Linked DNA regions of Arabidopsis thaliana. The protein of the gene in region 2 purifies or fractionates together with the protein of the main gene of each other region. This does not show direct contact. Each region holds a gene or a part of one and is shown on either strand. Other genes may lie near its edges. The genes, in order: EMB1241 and PDX1.1.

Region 1 (5,159 bases), on a different chromosome or scaffold from region 2:
TTGCGTTTCACGTGGCATATCCCCCACATGGCTCTTTTGAAGCATAGAATTCTTCTTCTAACTCTTGTCTTGGTTTAACAAAAAAAATCTGGAAAAGATTCTCCTCGCAAACTTTGAAAATCATAACTGATACATAAACTCTACTTACTTCTTGACAACAAAACAATTCTGTAACATTTGTTAGTCAACAACTGGATACAAATATATTCGGTTCGCTTCTGGTTAACACGTTTCTCCAAAAATTGAAATCTGATAACCAAAAACCGGAACAGAACCGCAAATCAACATTTGTACTTGTACGTTCACACAAGACATGCATTGTCCTAGGAGACTAAAGATGGACCGGCCGATTACACCTCGTATCCGATCCAAAAATTATGTGATATATTATCATCATTGAGGATAAAATTTACTATTGATTGTTTCACACTTTCACTGTATGACACTATTTATTCTATTACCCGGTTTAATGCATTATGCATGGATCCCAACGTTACTAGAAATATCCAAAAAATAACAAAAGAAAGAAGAAAAAAAAATCCAATCCAAGATACCCAACATACATGGCCCTAACATTTCTTTACACAAAATGGACAACTCCTCTTTAAGATATTTAAGTACCCAAAGAACCCTAACCAAAAGAAGAAAACTTGGACAATAATTTGGACTCGTAGGCCATAGTACTCAAATACAATTTACTGTATTGACTTTCTGTTTGTTCCAAACTTCCAATTATCAACATTTTCTCTGAATCTTCCGAATTTTCTAGCTGTGTATAGAGAGATGAAAAAAAATCAATTATGGCATTCCCTTTCGGATTGAATACTTAAGAATTCATTAAAAATGTCGATCTATATTACTTCTAGACTCTGTAGAAATGATATAACGTATCAATAACAATAACAACAATAATGGTAAAACAGACCTCTCCCTCTTTTATCTCTGTATCTCTCTCACACACACGCACACAAAACTGCTGAGTCTTGATCATCTTCAATTTCAAGATGAAGATGATTCTTCTTCTGCGCTTCCTTGTGCTGTGGCTTCTTCTCCTTCAGCTTCAAGGGGCTTTTCTGGTCCAGGTCCAGCTGATACTTTCACCATTGAAGGACGTAAAAGCCTTTCACCTAGCAAGAAACCTTTCCTGTATTCTTCTAGTACTATACCCTCTTCGTATTCCGCAGAGTCTTCTCTCATTATTGCCTCATGTAGCTTTTTTCACACAACAACGAGAAAAGCAAAAGGATAAAAAAGAGATGTCAGCTGTTAGGGACTTGAAAAGACCAACAAACAAAAGGATATCTACCAACTCATTGTCATTTAAACCCAACTTGCAAAAGTAACAACCACATCTTACATCTAAAGTCTCCAAAACTTTAGCAGATTCATGCTTAGGACTAGACGCATAAGTGGTTATGTATTTCAAGCTTTGCGATAACCAAAAGGCATCTAACTGAGATAAGTGATCCTAAACCTCAAAGATTTATTGATCATTTGCATCACAAAAGTATCATTCAGCATAATTTGTTCCATCCATCTGATGTAGCTAACTTTCAAAGTAACAACCATATCTACGTTCTGCTCAAGATTATTCCGGCAGCCCTATAGCAACGAATTATCCTAACTTCCAAAACAACTTTGATTTTAAAGATCACGTCCATAGTTAAAAATTAAAACCACCAGCAAGCTGAGCAACAAAAATACAGTTGTCGATCTCCGGAAAGAAGAAAAGATATCATAGTAACTAACCATTGGATCAAACTGCTTGCCGACTGTCTCCACATGGATAACACCAAGTGATCCCAGAATTTCTACAAACTGTTTGTATATGCTCTGATAGCTATTAGTGACTTTCTCTTCTCCCTCAGTCTCCACCTTAATTTGGGATTTAGCTCTCTCGAAATTATCCAAAACAGCCAAAAGATTCTCTACAACCTCTCCTTGAGCATTTGAAACAAGGTTTAGCCTTTCCCTCTCAGTCCTCTTCCTGAAGTTGTCGAAATCTGCACTGATTCTTATAAGCCGATCCCTCTCCACCGATAACTCATTGGATAAAGACGCTACTTTATCCGCAAGCAGAAATTTTTCATCTTCTATGGACTTTAAAGATGCTTCTATCTCAGCAATCTTCCCCTCGTTGTTGTCTGCTAAAGCTTCTTTATAGGATTTCAGCAACGCTGTGATAACAGCTGCTTCTTCTTCCTCAGCTTCACCCTCCTCAGCACTGGCATTTTCATTCTCGACATCAACAGCACCATCCGTCTCCTGCTCCATGATTTCAGAAGTGAAACAAAAAATCAGAAAAAGAGCAATCCAGTTTACATAGACGTTTCCTATCTATTCCTGATAAAAGCTGAGACAGAACACACACTAACGACACAATTTTTTAATGACCTCCTAAACAATCAGATTAACACCAAAAAAGCTTCAGAACATTCTGTGGCCCCCATACAAGAATCACGAAATCAAAATTCGATTTGGATAGTACATACACACCATGGTCTTAAACTACTAGTGAAACTCCTTCATTTTGGGAACACACCATACCACAAGAATATGAAATCTGTCATTCATCGGATTTGGTATATCCTAAGAAACATTAGCATTCACCATTTGACTCCTGAATAGACTGAATACAATCCTATTCATTGCTCTAATTCATGTGAACGTTCCTTCAGAGGGTAATATAATCAATAAAGCTTAAAAATTTAAGCAAACAACAAGCAATTCTAAATTACCATATCCCAAATTCGAAACCCTAATCACCGAACTAACAATGAAATAACCCCCAAGAAAGTTGAACAGAAGTGAGCCGAAATCGAAAAACCTGAACTTCGGGTTCGTTCGATTCCACCTCCGTCTCCGTCGTCTCAGCTTCTCCCGAAGCAAAGGGTACGAGGTTTAGTAAGCGGAGAGGATAGCCGCTAGAGACAGACCGGAGAGAAGCTCGGCGAGAGAGTGAGACGCTAACGTTTCTTCCTCCGGCGAAAGATACGCAAAAGGGCTTAAAGGGTACAGAAGGAGCATGAAGAAGAGTTGGTGTGAGATGTAAAGACGGCGTTTTGAGTAGACCGGCCATCGAAGAGTTCGGAGAAAGAGAAGGAGAGTGGCGGAGAGAGATAAGGAAGATAGAGAGAGAGAGGGCAAACGGTTCTACTCTTCCTCGTCGGATCTTTTGTTTTGTTTCGTTTTTTTAACCGTTGGATTTACTTTTCGTTTTTACTATGTTGATCGGACCGTTGTTGTTCAACAGAGATTACGTAGGGAGTTTTTCAACCGTCGGATTTAGATTTTCTTGAAACTTCTACAGTTTTGTGAATATTTTATATAATACAATAAAATCTCTGTAAATTAATACTCGAGAAGGCTGTTCGATGTTCTATGCCAATGATCTAACTGATTCCTGGTATGATGTCTCCAAACTCTTTGTAAGTTGTCTTCCACTCTTATGGTTCAACTCTTTTTCCAAGTCCACTTCATCACGAATCTCTTCATCTTCTCTAGCGATGACTACACTTTTCTTCAAGTGGGAGCAAATTTATCCAGGAACTGTTGTTCTGACATAAGAATATTTGAATGATTTGTAGTTGTATCAATTTCGCCTTGCCTTTCTTTTGGATCTGAATGTTTCAAACATTTTCGACAATAAAATATGTTTTTACCAATTTGTATCAGTTTTGTTATTGCAGATTCAAATTGTATCATGATCTCATGCATATCGTTGTTGAAAATAACATAATAAGACTTGAGATTTGGGAAATTTTTAGAAGCAATTTTGTGTTATTGACTATAACTAGTTCTACAATTTGGGCTTAGGCTTTATTTACAAAAGGGTTTCCTTAAGCCCAAAGAGATGTACTATATAGTTAAATGTTTGTTTTGGTCAAGTACTAGTACTCAATATGTTATAGATGAAAAGTAATAAGAGAATATCAGGGTTTGCCGGTTTGGGTTGACAACAAAGAGATAGGAGACCATCCATGTTTAATCTATTTTCTAAGTCCGCACACTTAGTTTTGTCAGAAGTAGTGGGTGCAACGGACCTTAATCCTAAATCAGAAGTATTAACTACAAAGTGACTAAAGTTTTAAACTAATTATTAAATATCACCCGTTGTTGAGGCTAACATATCATAAAAGATATTCTTCTTCGACCATTTTACTTTTTCATTTTCCAATTTCTCAATATATTATTTTAGTTAAAATTTTGTAAGTAGATGTTTATCAAAAATTCTCAAGTAAATATCTAGCATATGTTTGGAGGTGACAATCCATATAAGCTTTTAAAATTGAATATCAAATAGTTTAGTTCAAATGTTTAGAATTGGAAGCTAAATAAAGGAAGAATTTCAAAAGCATCTTTTCGAATACCACTTTTCAAAAATATTATATTTCTAATTGTTTATTAAAAGTACTCCTAAGAATATGAGGTTTATTCAAATATGTGTGTAACTTTATTAAAGTATACAAACTACTTTTATATGTGTGTAAAAACTTATAAATATTTTATAAATACAGTATAAAAATAACTTATAAATACCTTGTAAAACAATACCTTGTAAAACATTTTTAAATACCTTCTAAAATCTTATTAAACCATATAAAATACTTTATAAAACATTAGATCGAATCTCCAATTAGTAGTTTACACCAAAAACTTTATGAACTTTTGAGATTTAATGAAGAGTATTTTCTAAAAATAAACACCTAAAAAGTTTCCAATGGTGATTAACAAATTGAACTAGCTGAATAAAATGAGTACTGATAAGTTGAATAAAGATAAGCTGAATAATAAAAAAGAGTTGGATAAACTAGATGAGATGAATAAGTTAGAGAAAAATAAAAGGTAACCTCTATATGTTTTCAACAGCTAAACATATTTCAATATTAATTAGAAACAGCTAAACAACAGGTTGTATTTTATTATATTAATTCTAACGCATGCAACGCATGGGTCTTCCACCTGGGTATATCATATAGATTATGAGTCTGTATCAAATTGGTCATCACGTCGATTGAGAAAAATAAAAATAAAGTCTCTAATCATTTAGTTTCCTTCTTTTTATCGTCCCGTAATTCTCTATTTGTTTAACTTGACAATAAACTTAGATCTCGTTTTTTTACAATTTTTTTTTAAAAACAATAGATAAATATGTCTAA
Region 2 (3,959 bases):
TAAAGAAAAACCTAAAAGATCTTCTTTGTTGATGTGAACACGTAACCGATAAACCCTTGGGAAAACCGAATATTTAAATAAACCTGTTTCCCTCGTTGTTTTCTAACAATCGAGACTTCATTTGTGTATAGTATATACTTGAATAGGAAAATAACTTTGAGTGAAGTAAGAGGAAATAGAGGAAGTAGAAGTGTTAATGTTAGTGAGTTTTTTTTGTTTGAAAGTATTGCCTTTTAGGGATATAAACTGACTATGTTAAGGCTCTCAAGTTATAGGAATGCCATTCTTCTATCGGTCGTCGCTGAAGGATATTGCATTTCGTGACACCGCTTGGTCATGGAATCTAATTCAGGGTTAGTCAAATGGAAGTTCCTGCTTAAGATGCATTGATTACATTGCTTATCATGAGTTAATAAAAGTTCTTTACAGGGAGTGGTATGATTCAATTGGATATAAGTAAGTCTAAAGGTTATTATCTTACTGTGGCTAACTTGAAGAGGAAGGACATAGAGGTAATTATAATCAAGTTATGACTTTGGATTAAGTTTTGGTTTCTGTTGTGTTTCTGCACAGTCCACAGTACACTGTTTTACTTGACATAATGTTTGTTCAGGTGGAACTGGATATTGATGTGAAGGCTGTCTTGTATGATACTAAACAAACATCCTACAATTGTTCCTTCAGCAATGGCGAGTGCTCATTCAAAATGAATGAAAGGTACCCTGTTGAAAATTATGCTGTCGTAACTTCACCAGCACTGGGTCAGGTATGTACTCGTAATACGAAACACTAACAATATTGTTACTGTTATTATTATTATGACTCTTAGCTGAATGAATGTTTGTCTCACTGCCTTAGGGAGTATCCATCGATGATGAATGGTATATCGAGTTGTCATATCAACCTAGATTGATTGCATATGGAAGCTTCACAGGTAAACTTTTCAATCTTTTCAAAGTCAACTTGATTATTGGATTTGAGCATTTGTTAGTTTCTCTGTAACAAGGAAGCAATTACATGTAGTATTATTGCGTATGCAGGTGTGTTGCTTTCCTTCATGCTGGTAGCTATACACTTCTGCAACAAGTTAAAGTGCTGTGGTGGAGAGGGATTTTTATCCGGAGATGATTCAGTGAGAACATGTCTACTTGCAGACAAAGGTGACAATGATTGTTGTAATGATGTCGAAGCAAGTAACAAAAGTCTCTGTGCCATTTGTTTTGATGCTCCAAGAGATTGTTGTTTCCTCCCGTGTGGCCATTGCGTCTCCTGTTACCAATGCGGAACAAAGTAAGTTTTTTATCAACTAAGTACAACTTCTGGATTGCATAATTGTAATGGTAATGTGTTTACCATATTGGGATTGATCTAAAATATTGAACGTTGTGATTTGACAATATTTGCAGGATAAAAAGAACCAAGGGGAGGTGTCCAATATGTCGAAAGAAAATGATACATGTGAAGCGAATCTATACAGCTTAAGATGTATCATTATCTGTCCAATGTGATGTTGAATCGTTAGAGCATTAATAAAAATCATATAATTTGATATTGACAAGGCTCAGGTCTTTCTTTGCATTAATTCGTTTCATCTCTTAACCATCTTTGTGACAACATCATTGGTTAACTACCATAGGGTAGGCAATATAGTGAACCATTGTTTGTTGACTCACATCACAAAATGGTTCGAAACCCGAATCGATAATTAAGGATTTCATAAATTAATTGTTAATTTCTGAATAAATTCGGATTTTGTATATTTCCTCCGTTTCGTAATATAAGTAGTTTTGGACCAATTTTTTTGTTTCACAACATAAGTTGTTTTTAACTTTCTATGTAAATAATATATTATTTTAATATTTTTTGATTATTTATATTATGTAATCTCTTTTATGATTAGCTAAACTTTTTAAAAATAAATATTTTTAATTTGCATATTTTTATTTAAAACAACGTATATTGTGAAATGGAAAGAGTATAAATTATTGATTAAATAATTAAGGACTGTAATTTATTTTATTAAATTTAATATTCTTTTCCAAATTCTCCACATATTTTATACCATAAAAAAAGAACAACACCCTTACACACATAACATATCCGAATCAGTGGTTCTTCGACATCACACGATGGTATAGGGAAATGAGCTTCCACGTCAACAAGATAATAATCTCTTCGGGACTATACATTTACAACAAAAAGAAACAAATCTTGTGGTCAAAGTTTCCATACGTAGCTTCTCTTCTCTACACTCACGTCCACCACAATCCTCGTGCTCCTTCCTCTAAACCCGTCCGATTCACGTACTTTTACTATCTTTTCTCAATCCAACAGCTCACAGTCCACAAACAAATTTCAAATCGCGTCCTATAAAATCCCCTCTCCTCTGCTCCACACTCTCTCAAAACCCTAGAAAAAATGGCAGGAACCGGAGTTGTGGCGGTGTACGGCGAAGGAGCCATGACGGAGACGAAACAGAAATCTCCCTTCTCCGTGAAAGTTGGTCTCGCTCAGATGCTTCGTGGCGGTGTAATCATGGATGTCGTCAACGCAGAGCAAGCTCGAATCGCTGAAGAAGCTGGCGCATGCGCCGTGATGGCTCTTGAACGTGTTCCCGCCGATATTCGAGCTCAAGGCGGTGTTGCTCGAATGAGCGATCCAGAGATGATCAAAGAAATCAAAAACGCCGTGACGATTCCGGTGATGGCGAAAGCTAGAATTGGTCATTTCGTTGAAGCTCAGATCCTGGAAGCAATCGGAGTTGATTACGTCGACGAGAGTGAAGTTCTCACTCTCGCCGACGAAGATAATCACATCAACAAACATAATTTCAAAATCCCTTTTGTTTGTGGATGTAGGAATCTCGGTGAAGCTTTAAGGCGGATCCGTGAAGGAGCCGCCATGATAAGAACCAAAGGTGAGGCTGGAACTGGTAACGTTGTTGAAGCCGTTAGGCACGTGAGGAGTGTGAACGGAGCTATTCGGTTACTTAGAAGCATGGACGATGACGAGGTTTTCACTTACGCGAAAAAGATCGCTGCGCCGTATGATTTGGTTGTGCAGACTAAGGAGCTTGGGAGGTTACCGGTGGTTCAGTTCGCTGCTGGAGGAGTGGCGACGCCGGCGGATGCGGCGTTGATGATGCAGTTGGGATGTGATGGAGTGTTTGTTGGGTCGGGTGTTTTCAAGAGTGGAGATCCGGTGAAGAGGGCTAAGGCTATTGTTCAGGCGGTTACGAATTATAGAGACGCGGCGGTGTTGGCGGAGGTGAGCTGTGGTTTAGGTGAAGCCATGGTTGGTCTTAATTTGGATGATAAGGTTGAGAGGTTCGCTAGTCGTTCTGAGTAACCAATCAAATTTCAGATGTTTTTATCCATAACGTTTGTCACTTTAATATGTATCCACAAACCAATATTCTCGATTTATTCAAGATTTTATAGAAAAAAATTGGAAATGAGGAGTTTTGTTGGCTAGTGTGGCCAACCATAATTTCATTGGATTAATGGCAAATTCTACAACTAAACTATGTGAAATTAACAATATCAAACCTCAAGAGAGAGCAGCAATATAATAAGAAAAAGTGAAGATACGGTTTACATATTATTTAGTAACGACTATATCAAGGACATAGGAATAACAGATAATACTTGGAATGTTTATCAATTATTATCTAGTTAATAACAGTGAGTCGACTTGGTTTTTTCCACAAGGACCCTTTTGCCTTATCAGAGAACGGTACTCGTCGAACCTGATTGGTTTATAAAGAGCAGGTCGGTTTGCAGTTACTAGTTCTTCGATTGGTCCAACCGGGATATCACTTCTCGGGTTATAGAAGAATGCCAAAGAGACTCGTTCCATACCGGAATTAACGATCACTTGATGTTCCACGCTTTTGTAAATTCCATTGCTAAGTATCTACACATTGATATATCCATCGGTTAGTATTTAATTTGTAGAGT

The links.
Region 1: the proteins of PDX1.1 (region 2) and EMB1241 fractionate together in Arabidopsis thaliana (co-fractionation; one large-scale study listed by BioGRID). This does not show direct contact.

What each region holds. Positions count from the first base shown.
Region 1 is NC_003076.8:5,838,561-5,843,719, forward strand, and holds EMB1241 (Co-chaperone GrpE family protein), read right to left. Parts: upstream 3,299-5,159; 5' UTR 3,080-3,298; coding exon 2,828-3,079; intron 2,266-2,827; coding exon 1,750-2,265; intron 1,213-1,749; coding exon 1,000-1,212; 3' UTR 779-999; downstream 1-778.
Region 2 is NC_003071.7:16,009,057-16,013,015, forward strand, and holds PDX1.1 (pyridoxine biosynthesis 1.1), read left to right. Parts: upstream 1-2,176; 5' UTR 2,177-2,418; coding exon 2,419-3,348; 3' UTR 3,349-3,459; downstream 3,460-3,959. Other genes in the region: APD3 (RING/U-box superfamily protein), read left to right, coding at 261-353, 430-512, 614-766, 859-934, 1,041-1,290, 1,407-1,482; AT2G38240 (2-oxoglutarate (2OG) and Fe(II)-dependent oxygenase superfamily protein), read right to left, coding at 3,667-3,915. UniProt on the Arabidopsis thaliana protein: Catalyzes the formation of pyridoxal 5'-phosphate from ribose 5-phosphate (RBP), glyceraldehyde 3-phosphate (G3P) and ammonia. The ammonia is provided by PDX2.